Drosophila melanogaster: one gene and its partners. The protein of the gene in region 4 binds, or shares a complex with, the protein of the main gene of each other region. Each region holds a gene or a part of one and is shown on either strand. Other genes may lie near its edges. The genes, in order: Nup358, xmas, Nup153 and Nup205.

The links.
Region 1: Nup205 (region 4) and Nup358 share a complex: the UniProt entries of both Drosophila melanogaster proteins name them as parts of the nuclear pore complex.
Region 2: Nup205 (region 4) and xmas share a complex: the UniProt entries of both Drosophila melanogaster proteins name them as parts of the nuclear pore complex.
Region 3: Nup205 (region 4) and Nup153 share a complex: the UniProt entries of both Drosophila melanogaster proteins name them as parts of the nuclear pore complex.

The regions. Positions count from the first base shown.
Region 1 is NT_033777.3:25,247,516-25,252,348, forward strand, and holds the start of Nup358 (nucleoporin 358kD), read left to right. Parts: upstream 1-1,832; 5' UTR 1,833-2,115; coding exon 2,116-2,187; intron 2,188-2,707; coding exon 2,708-4,833. Other genes in the region: Nup37 (nucleoporin 37kD), read left to right, coding at 448-591, 658-1,066, 1,124-1,533. UniProt on the Drosophila melanogaster protein: E3 SUMO-protein ligase. Component of the nuclear pore complex (NPC), a complex required for trafficking across the nuclear envelope.
Region 2 is NC_004354.4:17,156,263-17,161,101, forward strand, and holds the start of xmas (xmas), read right to left. Parts: upstream 3,045-4,839; 5' UTR 2,953-3,044; coding exon 2,909-2,952; intron 2,845-2,908; coding exon 1,311-2,844; intron 1,251-1,310; coding exon 1-1,250. UniProt on the Drosophila melanogaster protein: Involved in mRNA export and mRNA coupled transcription activation.
Region 3 is NC_004354.4:16,597,518-16,602,249, reverse strand, and holds the start of Nup153 (nucleoporin 153kD), read right to left. Parts: upstream 3,010-4,732; 5' UTR 2,611-3,009; exon of another isoform or gene 2,527-2,610; 5' UTR 2,096-2,526; coding exon 1,937-2,095; intron 1,871-1,936; coding exon 1,355-1,870; intron 1,297-1,354; coding exon 1,052-1,296; intron 875-1,051; coding exon 1-874. Other genes in the region: CG9784 (uncharacterized protein), read left to right, coding at 4,008-4,732. UniProt on the Drosophila melanogaster protein: Component of the nuclear pore complex (NPC), a complex required for the trafficking across the nuclear envelope. Functions as a scaffolding element in the nuclear phase of the NPC.
Region 4 is NC_004354.4:19,850,341-19,858,214, reverse strand, and holds the start of Nup205 (nucleoporin 205kD), read right to left. Parts: upstream 6,002-7,874; 5' UTR 5,868-6,001; coding exon 5,646-5,867; intron 5,567-5,645; coding exon 5,243-5,566; intron 5,156-5,242; coding exon 5,054-5,155; intron 4,964-5,053; coding exon 4,401-4,963; intron 4,337-4,400; coding exon 3,836-4,336; intron 3,780-3,835; coding exon 2,228-3,779; intron 2,128-2,227; coding exon 743-2,127; intron 680-742; coding exon 1-679. Other genes in the region: pico, read left to right, coding at 7,203-7,352. UniProt on the Drosophila melanogaster protein: Plays a role in the nuclear pore complex (NPC) assembly and maintenance, but with limited role in NPC permeability. Required for specific nuclear import pathways such as Mad import.

The DNA of each region.
Region 1 (4,833 bases), on a different chromosome or scaffold from region 4:
AATAATGCTGAACAGCTGGGCGATGGCAACTCTGCTGCTCACGCTTTCCAATACTGGAGTGTGTGTTGCTTGAGTTCAAAATTTATTCTGACTTTATTCGTGTATTAGCAATAAATTTTATAAAAAGCAAACGCTACACAGTCGATATTAGGCATTACTACTATTACTATCATTAAAAAGTTCGCCGACGTATGACTACTTAAATATTGTTATGTTTCTTTTTAAGACTAGCCATTTTTATTAAAACTTGAGGCACAATAATGTAAGCATTAAACATAATAACGAATATATTTTCGAATAACATTTCTTTGCGTATTCTGTTTTTTAAAAGTGTAAAATCTTGGAAAATTCTTCCACTGATTTTTGGTCATACTAAAATAAACATTTTTTTGGCGCCGGCTAATTGTTGCATATATCCCGCGAATAACAAACAATATTTATAGAAAGATGCGATCTGTCATCGAGCCCGACCACAGCATCCAGCTTAATGAAGCCATCTACTGCTACGATATATGCACCAATGACTTTGCCTACAACCTAATCGCAGTGGCCTTCAGGAAACACTTGAGTCTGCTGCTCGTTGGACTGCCGGTGGGTTTCCATGCATAAGACCAGTGAAGGTTGAATGATTTTGAATGGTTAACCCTTAATCCGCAGGAGGAGAGCGGCGAGTTCGGGTACACACGCCTGCAGGACATGGACCTGGGCGAAAAGGAGCAGCGGAGCGTGAGCGCACTGGCCTTCTCGCCGGACACCTCGCTCAACTGCACGCCCAACAATGTGACTTTGTGCGCGGCCAACGGCAGCCAGCTTAAACTATACCGCACCGATCTGGGCCAGTTCACCTCGCTCCAGGTGCTCCGTGGGCATGGGGACTACGTCAACGATGTATCCTGGGTTTGCGACGGCGAACTGCTGGCCTCCGTTAGCGATGACTTCACCTGCAGATTCTGGACGACGACAGGCGGCGGGGAGAATGTCATAACCTTTGGCCTGTCCTCCGCTGGAATGTCCGTCAAGAGTCACCCCGAGGATCCCAACAAGGTTCTTGTGGCGGAAAAGAAGGGTGTGCTTGCTATTACCAGTGTTTAGCCCGCGGTGTAACTAAGGAAACTCCTTGCAGGCATCATTCATCTATACAATGTGACGCTCAAGCAGACAGTCATCTCCGTGGAGTCGCCCAAATTCCCCCTGATGTCGGCGGACTGGGCCCACAGCAACCGGCTCTTCATCACCTCGCTGGCCGGCGGAGATGTGGTTACCTGGGACCTGAACCGACCCTATGTGCCCGCGGATGTCAAGCAGGTCCACGAGGATTGCGGCCGGGTGGTGCGCTTCGCGCCAGGCAGCTCCGAGATGGTTATCGCCATGGTCATCGGGCTGACTCTCAAAGTGTTCGCGGCCAAGTCGACCGTTCCTCTGCTGGAGGCCTCCCTGAAATCCTATGGGGGAATGGCCTGGCACCAGCGATTGCCGTACATTAGTGCGGTTTCCGATAGGAAACTGCTCTTCTGGAAAGTGCAAATGAAGTAATTTATATAAAATTGTATGAATAATAAATAAAAGAATATAAAAAATATGATATAAAAAAGATTTATCAGAAGAATATCAATGATCTACACTCTATTTCTATATTTATATTTCATAATTTCGTTAAACTATCATAAGTTTTATATTATTCTTGAACCTTCTTTAATTTATTTATTAAATCCCTTATACTTATTTGTTTGTTCGAAAAAAAATCGTAGCAATCGATAGTTGCTATAGTCATTAAAACATCGGTGACGCGATATATTCGCGCCCATCGATGAAAACGCGTAGTCATCGTTTTTTGTTCCAGCACTAAGTTTGCACAAATTTTTTGGTTTCCGTGCTGTTCAGCTTAAGTTTTAATTGGAATTTAGTGATATTTACGTTCCAATCTACACCGCAAACGAGTGCAGTTTGTTGCGACTGGAATTGCCCATCCGAATCTACGTGATTTTCCGGCCGGGGCAATTAACCGTTCGAGGAATCTGCTTCAATCGGATGACGAGTGAAGAAGAATCTAACGCGAAGCACATTTTTGCAAGGTCTCGTCCACTGCAAATTGGACGTGTTTAAAAAAGTACAGATATGTTTACAACGCGAAAAGAAGTGGACGCACACGTCCACAAAATGTTGGGAAAACTTCAGCCGGGAAGAGAGGTAAATAAACGGCCAAAGTGTGCATCGGAATTTCCAAAAAGAAAATCATTGCGAAATCTTCAGGCGCCGCCATTGAAAGCACACCGTTGTGTGCGTGCGGCGTCTGCTTGTGTTTGTGTGTGTGAGTCGGCGTCACTTGGCCGTCGTTTTTGAGATTGAATAAGAAATTGCGCGCTTTTCTTTCAACGGCTGCATTTCATATACTTGACAAATAGAACGCTTTTTTCGCAGCTGCATGGCTTTCGCCTTCTCTGTATAAATCAAATTAGATATTTGAGGTTATGTGTACCATATCAATCTGCTAGAGTGAGCGCTGAATTTGTAAGACCGCCAAAAATAATTCGAATTTCCATTGTGGATTTGAATGATTTTTTGCGGTCTAACGTAGCTCTATCTAAATAATAAGCACACAATAAGTCAAATCTTACAAAGTTATTCTTATCCAGCTCACAGTGATTGTCTAAAAATTTAACAGACTTTTTTGAACCTAACGTACTAATCAATAAAATGTATATTGTAGCGCGATATCAAAGGCTTGGCTGTAGCTCGATTGTACATGAAAGTTCAGGAATACCCAAAAGCCATCGAGTATTTGAACGGCTATCTCCGGGTGAGGGACGACGCTGTAGGCCATAACATGATTGCCACTTGCTACAGTAGGCTGAACCCGCCCGATGTGACAGAGGCCCTGCAGCACTACCAACGTTCTATTCAAATTGATCCGCGTCAGTCAGAGGTTGTCATTGACGCCTGCGAACTTCTGGTGAAGGAGAACAACGCATCGATCACGGAGTGCGCCAGGTACTGGTTGGATCAGGCTAATAGCCTTGATTTAAGCGGCAACAAGCAAGTCTTCAACCTGCGAATGCGTGTAAATCTTGCGGACAGTAACGGCGAAAGAGATGACACCAGTGGCGGAGACGGCGAGCAAAATACCCTCGAGATTCTTATGTACAAGGAGCTGCAGGCGCGTCCCCAGGATGTTAATATACGCATACAACTGCTGCGCAGCTATGTTGAAAAAATGAAAATAGACCAGGCCTTCAACTATGCTCTAAAAACGGAACTGGAGTCGAAAAACTGCACGAGCCAGTCGAACGAATGGTACGAGCAGATCTGGATGGTCCTTTTCAAGATAGAAATGGCCAAGGATGTAAAGAAGAACTGGCGATTTTGGCACTTCGCCTTGCACACTCTCGATCGTCTCGTGCAGCTAAGCCTGGAGGGCAGTGGACTGGCAGACAGCAGCAAGCAGTTGTTCAGACTTGATCAATATCTATTCAAGTTTAGCACTTCGATAGAGAGGTCAGGGGACGCTCCGCAGCGGGATCTCCACCAGGCTTGTATTGACCACTTTACCGGCCAGCTTCTGCTTCACGCGGTGACACTGATTTTCAAACGTGAGGTTCTGGCAAACAAAAACAAATGGATGAGCACGCTTCGCTCCGCTTTGCCACTTCTGCTCCTTGGTTACCAGGTGCGACCGATCGATGATTCGAGTACCAACCAATGGATAAAACACTGCGACGCGGAACAGAAGCAGTTGATACAGATGTGGCGCCCTCAGGGCGCCTTTCGATGTGCCCAGCTTGGACGAACCCTTTTGGGCTGCTTGGACCGGTCACAAATGGAAATTAAAAACGATAGAGAAAATGCCGAGTTTGATGAGAATAAGAATTCGGGAAATTCTATGCCGGGATTATTTGCCGACTCCGAAGAGCTGTTGGCCAGCGCTCACCAGCAATGCTTGGACAAGAGCTGGCGAAGTCAAATTTACCAACAGCTCTTTACCCACGCCGAACACAAGCTAAAGGATACGTCTTCGCATCTGGTGCGGAACCTGCGTCTGCAGCTGCCTCTTTTTGAGTGGCCGAATCTGGCGCATATCGAGAACTACGAACTGCAAGCGTTGGTGCTGCCGCCACACTCCTTAGCCCAACATGTCTACCTGGCTCTGGGCACCGACCCGAACAAACTTGGAGATGCGCCACGCGTGGTCTTTTATGAGGGTTTCCAACGGGATGTTAAGCAGAATCTAAACTACTGTGGGCAAGATTCAATCAGCCAGGTAGATGTGGACCTCTACCTTTATGCCACAACCATTCAGACCAGACGTAAATTGCAAATCCAGCGTGAGGTGTATGACTCCTCCAATTTGGGAAACCGCAATGCTGCCGCCCGGCCACATATGATGCCATTTGCCAATCTAGTGGGTCAACTAGGCGCACCGGAGCAAAGTAACTGGTGGGATCTGGTGGTGCGACTTAACTCGAACCAGCTTATCACTGAAGGCAATCGCGCCGAGCAACGAGCTCAACTACAACATGGATTGGAAGCGGTGCGCGGCGTTAATGGCCCAAAAGCAGATGCCATCATCATTTTTCAATTGGGAAAGATTTTAAATTCCCGATCGGATCGTTCTTCTCTAGAAGCGCGTATCGATACCCTGTACAGGCAAGGATTTTCAATTTTACGCCACCAACACAACCAGCAGATGGAATCCTATGTCCGCGTCTTTAAGTACGGATCCGCCGGCTCAACGGCAGCATGGCAAGATCTTCAGTCGTTGGCTGAGGAAGCCGTCACCTATTTTAGCGAGAAAATGTTTAGGATTGGACAGTATGAGCAGTTTTTGGACGAGGTCCG
Region 2 (4,839 bases), 2.7 Mb from region 4:
CCATCCACAAAACGAGCATCCGGCGACTGTGGCTGCTGCAGTAGTCCCCTATCCAAATCGCAGTTCAACTGGAGACCCTCCTGGCCGCCGGACAGGCTTATCAATAGCTTGTAGAAGCGTCTAGCTCCTGGTTGCGCTACCGGCAGACACTTGTCCAAAACGTGCCACAGATCCAGTTTCAGCCAACTATGCTCCTCCAGGCCAGCCAGAAGTTTGCCATAATCGCAGGGCTCGCCAAGTCGATAGCGTCTGCTTAGACGCAGTGAATCTTCCATGCTTCGTTTGTTCACCACTCCTTCGGGGTTTTCGGCTCCAAAACTTAAAGGCAGTTGGTTAAATAGCGTGTCCTTCTCCTGTTGCGTTCGCCGATATTTCCGCCATCGTCTGATGCACACCCTCATGACGCCTAGTTCGTAGATGGATTGCTCCATCTGCCGCTCGACGAGATCGCGTGTTATTGAGTCCAGCATGGATTCGTAGGAACGGCAAGCCCGACTATGCGACATAAACTCGCTTTGGCAAATCTCCGCGAGGGTGTCCTGGAATATTTCCTGATACAACTCCAAAGTCCTGGTCTGTTTGTGGGCCTCCCTTTCCTGCTGCTGCACAAAAAACAACTGTTCCAGTTTCAGTTGCCTCTCTTTTTCCAGCTGAAGTTTCTCCTGCTCCCGCTGGCGTTGTTCCTCCAGTTCCTGCTGCTGGCGACGCTGCTGCTCCTGGCGTTCCCTGAGTTTCTGCTGACGCACTCGCTCAGCCTCGGCCACTTTGGCCTCGTGAATAGCCATTAGCTCAGCTTCCCGCTTCTTTGCAGCGGCAATGGCTACTTGGAGGGCCTGATGCTTGGCCTCTTCTTGTGCCCGTCGCTGCTGTGTAGCCGGAGCTTGTTCCTGGAACTCCTGAGCACGTGATTTGGGAAGAACAAAACTGAATCCATCGATGGAGGAGGCTGGCGGAACAGCAGCCGCAGCAAATACTCCAAACCCTGCTGCCGTTCCGTCGGGTTGCATGGGCACCTTAAACAAAGTATCGCTATGTTTTGAGACTGCTGGTGGCTGCGAAGGCATTTGTGGCTGCATCTCCTCTTGCTGCATGCCAGCCAGCTGATCCTTGGCCGTCCATGCAATGCTCTTAAGCATTCCATAATCGTCGAAGCTATTGTGCGGTCGGTGATTGAGGTAGAGGTCTCGTGGTGGTAAAGGTTCCCCACTGACGACTTCGCCCACGCTCTTCACGCGTTTCACTTCCACCAACTGGAAGTGGATAATAAAAATCAAATTAATAAAACAAAAAAAAGAAAACCATTTACTTACCTCATACTGTCGCGGCAGCTTGTACTCCGTCTCCACCGTGTGCATTCTGCTTAGCACAACTCTGCCCGCCTCGTTGATCTGCAGGCCATAGTGTTGGACAAAATCCGCCGCCTCCTGTTCGCTGGCAAAGCTCAGCAGCTCGGCGATGTAGCTGAGAGGCAGCGAAGACACCTCATCCTTCCGCGGAGACCTATACGCCTGGATCAGACGATGCAACCCCAGCACGCGCAGTCGCGTAAAGTAATTGACTAGGATGCAGGCACTCAGGTAGCTGGTATCCTTGTCAGCCAGCAGCTGAAAGAACCGCACAAAATTCGTGTCCTGCAGGGCCAAGTAGAACTGAATGGCTTGACGCACTTCGGGACAACTCTGCAGTTCCGCGGGCAGCTGACCGATGTCCCAGAGAAAGTTGGCATCGGCCAGATTGAGCAACACAATGTAGCCCCGGAATTCCGCCTCTTTGGGACATGGAACGCCCTTAATCCGCAGGTCATGGTACATGTACTTCAGAGTCTGCAGGCATTTGGTTAGATTCTCGGCGTTGATCTTGCTGTCAAAGACGCTGGGATCGGCGTCAACCAGACGGGCGGCGCAATGAATGTGAAACCGGGCGCACTGCTCCACCAGCTTCACAGCGCCCAGAGAGCATAGCTCCTGCTGGGTGATCTCCTTTCGGATGGACCTCGTGCGATCCCAAACGAAGTGGAACCAATCGCCCATATGGCTTTGCGGATCCTGGCGCTCGCTAATGTCCATGATCTCATGCATTAGATAGCTCATGGTCATGTGCAGGGCAGTCTCATTGCGCAGTTCATGCGGCAGTGGCGTCTCCTGGTCGGCACTGCTGCGCGAGTACTGCTTCAGGGCTCTTTCGTGACAGATTAGCTCATCGGAGCCCGGTTGTAGTTCATAGTAGGCTACCTGGCGCTGGAATTCTCTCAGCACGCGCTCCTTTTCCGGACACATATCGGCGCAGTGACCCTGGGTGGCACCGGACAGCTTGTGTTGCGTTCGGTTCAACCGGAGCAGCTTATCGCGGGCATCCAGCACGCTGAACTTCTCCTCGCTTGTATGGGCGGGTCTGCGCATCATGTTCTCAAGATCCCTGAGCTGGGCAGGCGTACGATCTCTGCTCACCGGCGCCGTTGCGGGCCCAACTGGTATGGCAGGCAGCATTGAACTGCCACCGCTACCACTGCTGCCATTTTGTGGTTTTTTTATCGGCTTGCCCGACCCATACTCATTGCGCCAGCCCGACTGCAGTGCACTCAACTCCGCCTGAATGTCAGGATCCACCCACTCCTCCGTTTTCTGTGCCGGCGCCGTCTCGTTATCAGCATAGGATATATCAAACAGGTGACCCTGAAAGCTGGCGCCATCGAGAAGCGCCCGCGCCGCCTCGTCCTCGCTGGCATAGCTTACGGTGCAGGTCATTCGCCGCGGACGCAGGACGAAGTTTACGAGGGTTCCAAAACGTCCAAAGTGCGAACGCGCCACATATTTGTCCAAAAATAGCTCCGGAATGTTTCTGCATCTGGGGATTCGTATGGAACTATAGTTGACATCGCTCTGCCTTTGATGAACGAACTTTTACTCACAATAATGTCTTGTAGTTGTAGCCGCCGGGACGGGGTTCTGCCATCGATCGAATATAGTTTAAGGTTTTTAGTTTCTTTTTTAGCTGAATGAGAGCGAATGTGTGCTTTGTTGTTACAATATTGCCGTCAAGCGATTGCCGGTAATCGATAACGCAAATCTGAAAATGGCGCGAAAAAAATACCGCAATGGCTATCCCACCCACACAATATCGTTCAGGTTTAATTGAAAATTTTAATGTTTTACATTCGAGATGAATGTATTTGCCTAATAAATAAAATGTTAACAGGAGTTGGTAAACATATATTCTTAGGAAATTAGGAAATGCTTGGGGCGTTCCTTAAACTGTTGAATGAAATCGAACATCTTCTTATATTATCTTATATATATATGAATATATATATAGGTGTAGCAATCTTTTTAAGTTCTTTTTATTCTCTTTTAAGCTCTCGATTCAAACTCCTCGATCTTGATAACACTATCTGTCGTTCTTAGGACTATACAATTAATCCTATCGAAATTGGTTGTTCCTAGTATTTTATATTTATACATAGCTTACATAAGAAATATTTTCATCTTTACACTTTAATATTTTAAGACGATTAATTACCTCTTAATCAATATCTCTATTTAATAGGCTGACTTATATAAAGCAATGCAAATTCAATAAAACTTATTGCAGAATTAGATGGCATTTAGCCCAATCCCTGATTTTAAAATAAGCGGGAGATAACGAGCAGTAGTGTGACCGCCCAGTAAAGTATAACCAAATACCGCGAAGAAGCCAAGCTGCTGTTCCGATAGTATCGATGAGCCTGCCATCCCCAGAATTTTGGTCATTTGTTGTTGCTCGCCAGGGCGAATTCGAACTCGAAGCGCAGTAATCAACGCGCTGCTCGTGGATTTTTTTTGCATTTTTTTGAGTTCAAATAGTTCGTTAATAAGAGTGGCGGTCAACGATACTATTCCACTTGCAATCGAAATATGAATAGTTGAAAGTGATAAACAACAAGAAAGAAGCGACGCCAACGGGCGAAAAAGGAGATAACCGAAAACGAAAAACACGACAAAAGCAACGTTAAAAGAGAGTAACAGAAAAGATATAAAAACGATGATCGAACCGTAAATTTAAAACCATGCAATCTACAGCGCATAATATATAATAATTTGACCAAAACAAATGCCAAGTTTGCGAGCGAGAGCGAAGAACGTTAAAAAAAGAAGTAAATAAATGATCTTGGCCCGCTGTTTGTTGTTCTTGTTATTATGGTTGCCGTTGTTGTAACTCGTTTTTTTTAATGCGCGCGTGTATGAATCACACAAACACAACAAAACAAACAATAACAACGATGCCTTACGGTGAAATATGCTAAGTAAATAGCAAAAGAGAGTTCCAGTTTCCAGAGAGCGACAGAGAGGGAGAGCGCGCGAGAGCGACTACAAGTACATACTGGAAAGCGATCCCGATCCTTTTTCCAGGCACGCAGCCATCTCGCTCGCACCCATGCCGCCCTAGACCAACTTTTGTTGCAGCTGCCTAACAACCAACAATACAGCAACAACAAGCGCACTGTGCACGCGAAAGGAGCAACAAGGATGGCGATAGCTGGAAAGCGACGACGATGATGATGATGCGGTCGTAACAACAACAGCAACAAGAACAACAAAAAGCTGCTGCAGGCAGACGAGCATAGCGTTAAAAAAAAGTAGCTGCATACAAAATAGTAATAGGAAAAAATCCGAAAAATTCGAGAAAAAAATAAGTTAAAGAAACGATCGCCCAATTTAATCAAGTGCATATATGTGTGTGCAAAATAAAAAGTGCATTGCAGCAGTCAAAAATACATACTTATTATCGCAGATCGAAGACGATAATAGTTATTGTTAACACGAAAAGTACGAAATGAAGGTCACCGTCTGCTTCGGCGACGTT
Region 3 (4,732 bases), 3.3 Mb from region 4:
TTTCTTACTGCCACCTTGGCCCACAGATGTCTCCGCAAGACTGCCGGAGTCTGAAGGTCGCATATCTACCGCTTTCATACCGTATCCAATACCACCAGTCATGGAAGCATGCAGCTGATGCGCCGGTGAGCTGCCGGCAGAATTGAGTCCCAACATTGAGGATGCGGCGGATGAGCTAAGATTGCTGCGACTGAAGAGGCGATTGTTGCCGGAATTGCCCCCGAAGGTGGTGCGTCCCTGGTAAAAGGGCGAGCTAGAGGCAGATGCAGAGCCTGAGTTAGAGGCACTGCCACTAAGCAGACGACTGTCGCTCAGTGCCGACGTACTGCCGTATATGGACGCATTGAAGCGACGTCGTTGGGTAAGGGAATTCAGCGACCACGTAGAATTCCGATGCGATTGCTGTGCGGCGGTGTTGCTTCTGTTAAATATTGACTTGGAGCTCTGCAGATTTCCGTAAAATTCTAAATTGCTGTTGCTGTTGTAATGCGACGGACGAAGTCCGTCGTGCCCTTCACCATTGTCGTGGTATTCGTTCATATCGCTCTCGGACTGCGAATCACCGCAACCTCCTGCGGCCGCAGACAGTTCACTTCGTCTTGTTTTTGTCTCAATGACATTGTTGTTGTTATTATTATTATTATTATTGTTGCTAGTATTGTTGTTGGTCCTGCTTATTCTCAGCAAATGATTGAGATGTTCTTCCGAACTCATGGCCGGGCCAGTCCCCGTCTCATCCATGGTAAGATCGCGTCGATGGGTTTGCTTGCCTATGAGCGATGGTCGCTTGTGGTTAGGAAGGCTGGATAGGCTGTTGTTGTAGCTGGTAGCGGTGCTGCTGCCTCCGAAAGGTATGTTCAGTGAACGGCGGATGCTAAAATGATTTAAATGATTGCCTTATAATTTTCACTAAGGTTTTCTTCTTTTTCGTCTTGGCAATAGCCTGGCTATGCAACGCCCAAATTTGAGTTTGTTTGAAACGAGCTCTAAGGTAGTTATCTTTTTGAATTCCATATTAACACTTTTAGTAAGCATGACTGCAGTAACATACCTGTGTGGCAGATCCCCGGTGCTTCCCTCGGCAGCTTCGTTGCCCGTGAAAAAGTTGTACGCGGGTTCGCGCTGCCGTTGACTACCATACAAATTGAGGTGATTGCGCCGATGTGGCGCAATGTGGCTGACGCCCTTGTACATCTGGGAGCTGGAGGAGCTGGTGGCAGCCGCGAGCGGAGCAGCAGGCGTGGATGACAAAAGGGGCAGACGACGCATGTTCGGCAAATTGACGGGGGTCTCCAGCTGAAAGGGATTCAAGATTAGTTGGGAAATGTAGACAGGATTGAAGATGTGATCTTACCTCCAGGCGTCGACGCTTGGTCTGCACGGCGGCGGACTGTTGGAGATTCTCCTGCTCTTCATCGTCATCCTCCTCATCGCCATCCTCGTCGTCCTCTTCCAGTTCATCCTCCTCGGCCTCATCCTCGTCACCGCCGGCAGCTGCAACAGCCCCGGCTCGCTTGCGCAGCAGGAACACATTGTACTCGCTCCGCCGCGTCTGTTCATCCTCGGCGGCCAGGTCGTGTTCGGCTATGTTGTCGGCCAGGGCCACCTCCTCATAGTTGAGGCCTTTGGCATCGGAGCCGTCATCAAGATCATCGGCTGCATCGGCATCCACTTCGGCTAGCATTATCCGACGGCGTCCTCGTTTCCGCTTGGTAGTGAGGCGTCCATTGGACTGGCGTGGCTGTGACTGGCGGAGATTAGCTGGGGAGGATAAGGCATCGTTCCCATCTTTGGACGACGGCGAAAACCAACCGCTCAAGGAGGCGGGCAGAATGCTGGACACGCGCATCTTCATCTTCCCCATGATGGACTGCAATTGCAATTGCACGGAAGTTGGATATTTGATGGGAACCAAGTTATCGTCGACTGTACTTACGTTGTTGCTGTCAGACTCCCGTAGGGCTCCCGCCGAGGATTCATCCTCTTCCTCCTCCTCCTCCTCGCTTTCTTCAGGCAGCTCCTTGAGCGGCGTCAGCGGATGCTTTTTGGCCAATTCGGCTTGCGAGGATTCCCTTTGCTCCTGTGCATCCTCCATTATGCCGCTTTAGATTCAGACTCACCTTTTTAGCCGGCGAAGCAACGGCACAAAAGAGAGATGCAAAAAAAACGCGAAAAAGAAGCGTTGCCGCACACACAACAAAAAACGTAAGTAAAAAAAAAAACCAAAAAAAAAGCACACACTGTTGCAATTCCTGCGAGCTAGTTTGTATGTGTAGGTGCGGATAATGTTCGCTCACTCGCTTCGTTCTCACTCTCTATCCTGCCTTCTCTCTCTGTCTGTGCGTGTGCAAAGGTGTGAGTGCGCTTACGCACGCCGTCGTGGTTTTTTTTGTTCGCGTTTCGCCGAGGTTTTACACACGCCGCGATATTTTTAAATAATATTCTGTTTGGCGCCACAAACTGGTCGCGTTTGATCAGGATTTGACTTCTTGGCCACCAATGAAGAGCAAATTCTGGGCACAAGCACTGCAAAATTAGAGGCGGGAAAAAGGATTGAATACCGAATTCGGGCGAAGCGCTCGAGGTTCTTGCTTTTGGCTTTGCCCTTACCGCTTTCCAGCATGCCGCCCGTTTTCTTCAATATTTGTTTTACTTTTGCCGGATAGATTTGATATATATTTGATATATTTTCACCTTCCTTTTGTCTTTGTGCTTCTTCCACTTCTTCCGCACACACTGCTTTCGCAATTCTTCGTTCCTCTTCTTCACGCTCTGCTCACACACACACGCGCGCAGCGATTCGGTACGAATTTTGGCGTTTTACCGCCGCGAAATCCACACTTTTAATTGCAATTTAACATTTGCCGCTGGTCGCATTCAGGTTTTCCATTGTTGCACGAGAACACGCACCACCGATTTGCAAGAAACAGAATTTCAAAAGAGCACGATTTGATTGGGGAAAAAACGCGTGTGTGGCCACAAAGTAGAGCTGGAACCAAAATCGATGTTTGTCAGATACTATCGGCGTGTCGGGCAGCGTGTGCTAATCGATACGTTGCCTGCAGCTATCGGTTACATGCACGTTTACGGTTTGGAAGTCTGTAATTATTAAATATTTTTAATTGGTGATGAACTGCCATACGGGCTTATTACTCAAGAACCGCTTCAAGTGCGACTTATAACATATGTAACCATTTGCTTGTGTTGTCATTTGAATACTAAGCATTTGCATTGACTAAAAGGAATTCTCGTTTGTATCTTTAAGTTGGAGTGAGGTATTTGTTTAGGTTTTTACTTGGCTGTGTGATAATGCAAAAGTTTAAATACTGTACTAATGTTAATCGATAGTTGTCCTAAAAAGAATTTCCAGCGAGTTAAAATTCAGCGAGTGCTAGAGTGACCACAGATTCTGCATTAGAAATAAAGCAAATATAATAAACGAACATAATATGAGCGCCAAATATAAAAGCCCTTATTAAGGTGCAAATATGACAAAGAAATTATACAGTATAAATGTTAAATAAATCTTAAAAAATGGGTTATAGGGGAAACCATATTGTTTTGGTTCAATTTTAGCAAGCCATTTTAAAACAACTTGAATTTACTACTAGATGAATCAAATATGTTACCTCTTAACGTCTAAGAAATTTACATTTTTAGGGCTGGAAAATAAATACCGCTAGTCGATATCGTCATCTTCTCAGTTTTGCCATCCCTAGTTGTTGTTATTGTGTTCGTCGTGTTGTTGTAGCACAGTTGTTGTTGTTGCTGCTGCTGGGCAAACAAGTGTTAAAAACTATTTGTGCTGCAATATTTTCAGCAATTACCGACCGCCCTCGCCGCTGTTCACCACCCAACTTAACCAGCAACCCAGATTGGAGCAACAAAATCCACAAAGGCATAAAGAATCGACTTACACAATAAAACCTTAATCGGTTGGGTAAACAACTTGATTGCTGTGAGCAGCCAGTTGGGTTAATCTCTTCGATTTGTCAAGTCCAGCAACAATGAGCCAAACGGAGGCTAGCAAGACACCCAAGATTCCGGACTCGGAGCCGGACGGATCGAAGGGCAAAGGGAAGCAACAGCTGGAAACTTACCGGGTATATGTGGTCACCTGGAATGTGGGCAGTCGATTTCCGGATAACATATCCCTCCGCCATCTGCTGGGACTGCAGGATGTGACGGTGGATAAGGACACGAAGGAGACTAATGCCCACTTGCCGGACATCTATGCGTTGGGGCTCCAGGAGGTCAATGCCCAGCCGCAGCAACAGGTGTTGGGACTGTTCAAGGAGGATCCGTGGACGCACAAGGCTAAGGAACTGCTACGCAACTACGACTATGTGGCCGTAAAGACCGAGCAGATGCAGGGGCTGCTGCTCAGCATGTTCGTGAGGCGGCAGCACGTTGAGCACTTGCAGGACATCGAGGCGGAGTTCACGAGGACCGGTTTCGGTGGCATTTGGGGCAACAAGGGCGCCGTCAGTGTCAGGTTCACCCTTTACGGCTGCGGACTGGCCTTTGTGGTGGCCCATCTGACTGCCCATGACCATATGATGGACGAGCGCATCGAGGACTACAAGCAGATACTGGAGAACCATCACTACCACGTCAAGCGGTATAGGGAGATCTACGATCACGACTATGTCTTCTGGTTTGGCGATCTGAACTTCCGACTGCAGGGCAGCGATTCCTCGACGGAAGTGCGCGAGTTGGTACGCGATGAGTC
Region 4 (7,874 bases):
ATACGGCGTGGCCGAGCGCAACATGGCCTCGACCATGTCGATGTGGGCGAACAGAAAGTTAAGCACCTGCACGGCGGCGGAGTTGTTGCGCGGACCCAGCGAGTTGACAATGGCATCGCAGAGGCTCAGCGCCGGCAGGAGGATCGACCGGAAGCGGTCATCGATGGACGGGAGGAAGGTCTGCGGCTCGTTACGATTCAGTTCGCTGGACTTCAGGTCGGGCTGCTGGTCATAGACCTTCATATTCGAAAGCACGCCCAGCGCCTGCTCGGTGAGGAGGAGCCGGGCTCCCACATTGCTGTTCGCCATGCGCGTGAGGAAGGCCATGCGCGACTCGTAGACGTAGAGCGGCCTCAGGTGATCCGGCACGGGCTGCAGAATCCCGCAAAGCGCCGTACTGGACTGATCAAGGCTTTCCAGTATGTGCTTGAGGTAGCCACGCGATGCCACAAAGTCGCATAGCGTGCTCACCGCCTGCAGCTCGGAGATCATGTCCAGGCAGGCCAGCGCCAGCATGCGGCACACATCGTGGCCGGTCACCGCATCGTGGCAGATGGTGTCGATCAGCTTCTCGCCGAACGTGCCAATCACTTCCGCCGCCATGGCCTTCAGCCGCAGGCGATCGTCGCGCCGCTGCTCCTTGTTGTACGTGCGTGCACTCTCCTGGCGCGAAATCAATCTGCAATGAAATAGAATGAAAGCTACAACTGCCTGCTACTGCTGTTGAGAAGGATACACTTACGTCTCCTGGTACTCCAGATGCTCGTCGGTGCGCAGTCGCTTCGCGATCCGCAGGCAATTCAGCAGCGAACTGTACAGATTGATGCGCAGCTTCTGCGACTTCACCTCACTGATCATGATCCACTGGACGAGGTTCTTGAGAATGAATCGCAGATTGCTGCTGTTGCCACCGGAACCGATATCCCGTCCACCTCCACTGCCGCCATCCGAACCAGTTCCGATTGCCCTCTGGCCCAGACACAATGCGTTCACCTGCGAATCGTTGCCGATGGCGTTGCCATTGCCATTGCTGAGCGAATCCTCGGCGGCCAGATCCTCGGGGCTCTGGTCCTCGGCCTGGTAGCAGCAGTAGCGCAAATTGGCAAGCAGCAGCAGCACCGTCTCGCTCACCTGTACGGATATCTCGATGATGGGCTGTATGGGCTGCACCTTGATGAGTACCTTCTCGACGATATCGATGATGTGCTGGCGACGCTGCGTCGCCGGAAGCACGGCATCGGGCATGTTGCTAAAGAGCACCTGCACCAGTTGACCCCATGCTGCCATGAAGGCCAGCGTGGCGCAGCGCTGTGTCCGCACGCGATTTATGTTGACGGCGTGATTGAGCAGCAGCATGATTTCCGTGGAAATGGCCTTCCGCTGGCCGCTGGCAATGATGCTCTGCACCATGTACAGCTCGTCGGTGAGAATGTAGTACAGTTTGCGCACGTTGATCAAGTTGGCCCTGGAATTGGCGCCAGCTTCGGCGGATGCCTCGCAGTCGCGCAGCAGTTGAGTGATCAGATGCCCGTCGAAGAACTCCAGCTGCGGCTGGCTCAACGTGCCCGCCTCCAGGACGAGAATATCTAGCAGTCGGGTGACATGCAGTCCCTGCGATGTCTCCTGCAGCAGCGATGGCTTAAGTGATTTGACCCCAGTGTTTGGAGCTCCGAGAGACGCCGAACCAGCCCCATGTGCCACGGCACTTATCGATCCACCGGCCGGTAGCACATCCATGGCGAGGAAAGACGACGACGGCTGTGAAATCAGGCTGTGGCCCAATTCCATCGACAGGCCATGGGATGAACGCTCCATTCCGTTTCCAATTAGCAAAATGTCGCACATCTGGTTGAAGCGCGTCATCTGGCCATGTTTGGCCGCCAGTTTGACATCGATAGAGACGCAGTTGAGCAGGTGGCCCATGGCGTGCAGCACATGATCCTCGCGATGCTGCCGGAAGGGCAGCGAGCGTAGGTGACGCAGCAGGAAGTCGCTGCACGTTAGCCGGAAGTAGCGCAGTATCGTCTCCGCGGTGCGGCGATTGGCGCAGAGTCCATGGAACAGATGGTAAATGCGCTCCACGATTCTCGCCGTGTGCTCGCAGTACTTATCGCTGTGACGCTGTTTCTGCAATATCAGAGATTGATTTGATTGTTAAAAGTTGGTAAGTTAGTTAGTTAGTTAGTTAGTTAGAATAGATAGTAATGGCCAATGGCTTTCAACTCACATCCATGTACTTTTCCAGCAACAGCACTACGGAGTTCACGCACGAGCTTTGCATCTCGATGGCCAGGTGCTGCCGTCCGTTGGCCATAAATTCGCGCAGCACATCCACGCCGAGCAGGAAGTACACAAAGTTGGGCAACTGCTGGCTAAGATTCATCTCGAACAGCTTGATAATGGCCTCTTTCAGTTGCAGCTCAATGCTAGCCGGTTTGCTCTCCAGCGCGCCATCCCCCGCCTGCAGCTCCAGTTGCGATTCAATAGTTGAATATTCGCGTTCCCCGCTCATCTCTCGCTCATTGTCCAGATCATCGCCGAATCCCAGATACGGAACGTGATTGTTGAGGGCCAGTTGGTCCAACAAATCGTCGTCGTGCTTGCCCACGCACACCTCCATTTCCAGGCACTCGACGAAACCCTGACGAATCTCGAGCTTCTCATTGCTGCCCTGACCGTACATGCTGAGAATCTGGGTGGAGACATTCGGCAGCTGGGTGACCGAAGCCAGAATCTTAATGGCGGCCAGGGCGTGCCGCGGCAGCCAGCTATTATAGGTTACATACTTAATGATATTCAGCACGTGATCGGGCTTGCGACTGCGTGGATTCAGATCCAGGAGCATGCGATTCAGGCCCGACAGCAAAATGGGGCAATTGGCCGCCGAGTGGGCCTCAAAGAAGGCGTTCTGTTTCGCCAATGCGGCTTCCAGGATCAGCAGTGCGTACAATGAGCACTCCTCGAGTAGCTTCTTGCCCTGAAAGCGATTGTAGTTGTCCAGCCGCTCACGCACCTCCTCCACAATGCACAGCAGCAGCTGCAACATTTCGGACTTCAGCTGCAGCTGCATCATAACGTGAAAGCCCGGATAGGGAGGTTCATCGACTGTCTCCAGAAAATCCATTGCGGACGGCCGATAGGTGGCCAGTAGGTAGTAGAGCAGTTTCAGGCACTGGGCGCCAACTTGCCACTTCTCGGAGGGAACCTTGTACGCGCGATTGTAAAACTTGAGCAACACCGAATTTATCATGGACTTTAGATAGCCTTCGTAGGCCGGTGTCCGTTGCCCGGCGCCCAAACTCTTCGGCAGATTGGTGGTCATCAGTGTGTAGAGCAATTGGAGGATGCCGCGCGTCAGGTTATACTGCTCCGAACGGCTCTCGATTTGTTCCATCTCCTCCAACAAACTGCACTGGGCATAGCTTCTAGACACGGGCACAGTGGGTATAATCTGCGAGGCCTCCAGGTGGAACCAGATGACGCGCGCCGTCTCCTTCGATTTGGCCAGGGCAGCCAGCGTGTGCAGAATCTCCGCCTTCAAAAAAAGCGGCGTGGCGCACGCAACCAGGCCCAGGAGCACCTGCGGCGTCTGCCAATTGGGATGGTCACAGATCATGATGCGCGAGACCTCGTCGTGTTCCGCCACCGCCTGTATGATGCCCATTACGGCCACCAGATGCTCCGCCTCTCGCTGCGTAATGGCCTTTGGTGTCGATCGGGTGCGGTAAATGGTCTCGCCGCTCATGCCGATGTTGGTGTTAAAGTCGTTGCGCATCGAACTAGAAGATAGTGATCTTCAGAGAGATCTTCAATACCAGATTTGAGTCACACTTACGTATAGTAGTTGCCCAGGGTGGTGAAGAAGTGATCCCAGCTAACCGCATACTTGCCGCCGGTGGCCATCTGGGGCACCCTAAGCATGTTGAAGGCGCATCGAGCCGAGAAATCGGTCCGTGTAAGTCCGGATATCATCTTGAGGTAGGCCTTGAACAGCGTCTGTGGCAGCAGGTCGCTGGCCAAGCTAATGAACTTGAACAGCGACACCGAGCGCGAGGTGTTCTTGAATGCCGTAGAGCCGTTGGGATCGCCGGGGCCCCAGTACTCGTTGCACAGCCTGATGGTGACGCGCGGATCGCCGTGCATCTTGGCCACGCACAGCATGAGCAGCTCAAAGTTGGAGTCCAAGTTGGGCGGCGGTTCCAGACCCTCGTTTAGGAAGCTGATGATCGTGTGTGACGACTCGTCTGCTCGGCCGCGCAGCTCCGACACCTTGGAGTTCATGAAGTCGATGAAGTCCGTGATGAGCAGATGGACGCGGCGGTAGAAGAACTGCGTGCTGTCAGCACAAATGATGATTAGCTTGCGAATCGGCAATTGACACTTCAGTTGTCAGTACTCACCTATAGACCAGATCCTTCTCGAGCAGCAAGCTGTGGAAGAAGACGAATACCTGCGCTCCCAGTGCCTCGTCGATGAGCATCTCATCGCGATTGATGATCGAGATGGCGGTGGCCTGAAGCTGCAAAGGTGCATGCCGCAGGCTGGCCAGCGTTAGTCCGAAGCTGTAGGCAATGATGGCATTCAGGCGCGGTGCTTGCCAGCTGCTCTGCGCGTACAGCTCCTCCAGGAAGCACTCGGCGAACTCGCGATCGCTGAAGATCGGAAGTCGGGTTGTGTGCTCATTGGGTTCCTCGGTGACCAGCAGCATGGAGGTATCGTACGCATACAGCAGAGCCATCAGCATGATCAGGGTCACGTCGTCCATGTTGCCGCCCGCGTCGTGGTTCTTTCGGTTGGCCAATTGGTGCATCAGCCGAATGGCAATGTGTCGCGGCAGGCCGCGTTGTGCCGACCAATTGAACAGGGCCATTGCCAATGCCTGTTGAATGTCCTCGTATAGGCCGAGCACCTGGTTCTGATGCTTCTTGGAGCCAAACGCGCGGTTTGTGGTCAGCATAGCGCACTGCGAACGTTGGACAACAAATGAATAACAATTTGCGAAGGAAGATATGCAATTTCAGAGAATTTCAGAAACAGGCGCATACAAACCCACCTCCTTGTCGACATCCATCTCCTCGAGCAGCTGCAGCAGGCGTCCCAGTATCCCAGAGCCGTCGACAAGGCTCTCGGCATAGTTAGTGACCAGACCGGTGATCTGCGTGCGTAGAACGATAATCAGGGTCAGTGAATCTCTCTTTCAGCGGCACTGCGATGCCTGCGATGTCGAAATCTCGAAACTTACCTCCTTGGGCAGTTCGGTGTTCCACGAGACGCCGCTAACCACCTGGAACATGTCGCGAAGCGTGCAGCTGATGGCCTTTCGTCCATCGTAGTAGAGCAGCACCGCGACAAGGCCTCTGGACAGGCCGGGATGATGCTTCTGCTGGCGCTGTGCGGTGCACAGCAGCTCCACGGCGAAACCCTCGTCCAGATCGAACATGTCGGACAGAATGACCGCCTCGTCGGCCAGGTCCTGTGACATCTTTGTCTTTCGCGAATGCCCCTGCATCGGGACGCCTTCGTTGAGGGCATTTCGTAGGAGATTGCGGCTCTTCTCGCTTCTCGGCTGCCGACATTTTCAATAATGGATTATCAATAATTAGTTAAATCTACGGATCTGCAAGCGCTTGTTTTGCTATACCCACCGGATTGCGCAGCAAGTTGCTGAAGTTGTGCTTGTACTTCTTGAGGCACTGCTCCAGATCCGAGGTGAAGCCACTGCGATTGGACACCGCGGTCTGAAAAGTGTTGTACAAATGCTTGTACGGCGTCCACATGTCCTCGATTACAGCTGTGGACGCATGGGTGGCATTAGTGATTTGGCGACCCACGCACATCTGCTCGTTGGCCAGGCACTCACCATCCATTTCACTTGGTTTTGCGGTTCGCTCAGTTCACGCAGTTCTTGCTGATTCGCAGTTATTGACTATAAAACGCGGCAAGATTGCTTCGCTTTGCGACAAGGCGCCGGTTACCAGGGCTGGGTGCTGCAAATACTGGAAAACACAGATGTTCACCACCGTACGAACTCACCACGCTCGTACGCGCTTCGGTGCTTGTGCCCGCTAACTGCGGTTGCTGCGCTGGCTAAACGGTTGATTCGAACCAAGTCAATCGGAAAATCGATGCTTATCGAACGATAATCGAGGCGCTGCATCGGTGCGTTGTCGCACCACTAACTAACACAACTTCAGTGCGGCGCGGGCGGGGCGTTTTCGTGAAAATCTACGCACGGACTTTTCGTAGTTACCCGATAGTAGCATCCATTTGTTTTGTTCCGATTCGCGTTTTTTTTTTTTTCTGTTCTCCGCCACTTGATTTGGCCAGCGAACGCACTGCCCAAGTGGTGTCCTGTTCGCATTGTGAGTGAATCACCGATGGCCGCGGGCAGGCTGAACTGCACCATAGTGGGATGCTGGTTCTGGCTGTCGATGCAAGTGGATGTGGAAGTGGATGTAGAAGTGTAAATGCAAATGCAATCGGCGCAGTTCGGCTGCAATAAATGCCAAAAGGGATACTAACTGCCAAAGCCAGTGCAATTGGAAGGAAAATTCAAATTTCATTGGGAATTATTCGAATTGGAATTGAATTTGTAACTGGAGTTGGAGTTCAGAGTACTTGGTACTGGGTGTGCGAGAGCGACAGAGAGGAAGAGAGGCAGTGCAAGTGTGTGGGGGTAGCAGTCACACAGGCACACACGAACATACTCACAACTCCAGTGCATAAAACTCCAAACTGCGTTCGCCTCTCTCTTTTCGTTTCGCTTGCTCTCTCCCCTACGTTCGCCCACGCAACGCCTGGCGAGCGAGAGAGAGAGCGGTATAGAAGAGCAAGGGAGCCAGAGCGAGAGAGCAAGGAAGTGGTTTTTCCACCGAAAATATGGACAAAGGCAAACTGCAGAGTTAGCTGAAAATAAAAAAAAATAAAAAAAAGGAACAAGACACAAACAGTGACTGAAATAGCGGTTAACAGCGCTCCCTTACGGCGAATCGTTGAAATTCAAGACGGAGAGCTATCGCATTTCTTCAATTATGTCTGTTTCGCTTTTCATTCCGCTGCAGTAAGCGATCGCGCGAAGGAGCAGCAATACAGAGAGCGAGATTTGGAGAGAGAGAGAGAGAGATAGAGAGTGCGCTCCCAATTGACGACTCCACTCCACTCCCACACACACTTAACCCCGCCCCCTCGCACCCGTAATTACTATGGATTGTGGTGGTATTGCGGCACATCAGCAACAACAACTACAACAGCAACAACTGCACTTACTCCAGCAACAGCTACAACAACAACACCACCAGCAGCAGCGGCAACAACAACAGCACAGCCTCGAGGAAGCAGCAACAATAACAAATGTAAGTATCTCCCAAGTTTCTCCAAATGTGTGTGTGCGTTTGTGTTGCTCGACCATTTCCTCTGTACTTCATAATTCGCTCCCACACACAAAAAAAAAAGAAGTCATAGGACAGAGTACACAGGAAGAAACTGAACTATACCTTTAAAGTACAGCTTCTTCAAATTATAGTAAGAACGGTGCAAATGGTAGACTCACATATGGTTGGTAATTGTATTAACTATAATTCTCTATTAGTGTTTTTTTTTTCGAGTGTATTCAGTATACTTTACTCCTTGGCTATGAAAATAACCTAGTTATGCAGTGCTAGGTGATCAAAAGACTTCAAATTCGGTACTCCAAAGTTGAGACTGCCCAACTAGTATCATGGATATAGTTTCCTATAGTTTGATAATATAGAAACTTAAAACTTTACCACTCCCCCCATTCGATGGGTCAAAGGAGAATTAATAAAAGCAAACGCAGAGAGCGGAATGATTAATCTTTGGACCAGCTGCTGGGGCAAAAACGACCACAAAAAGTG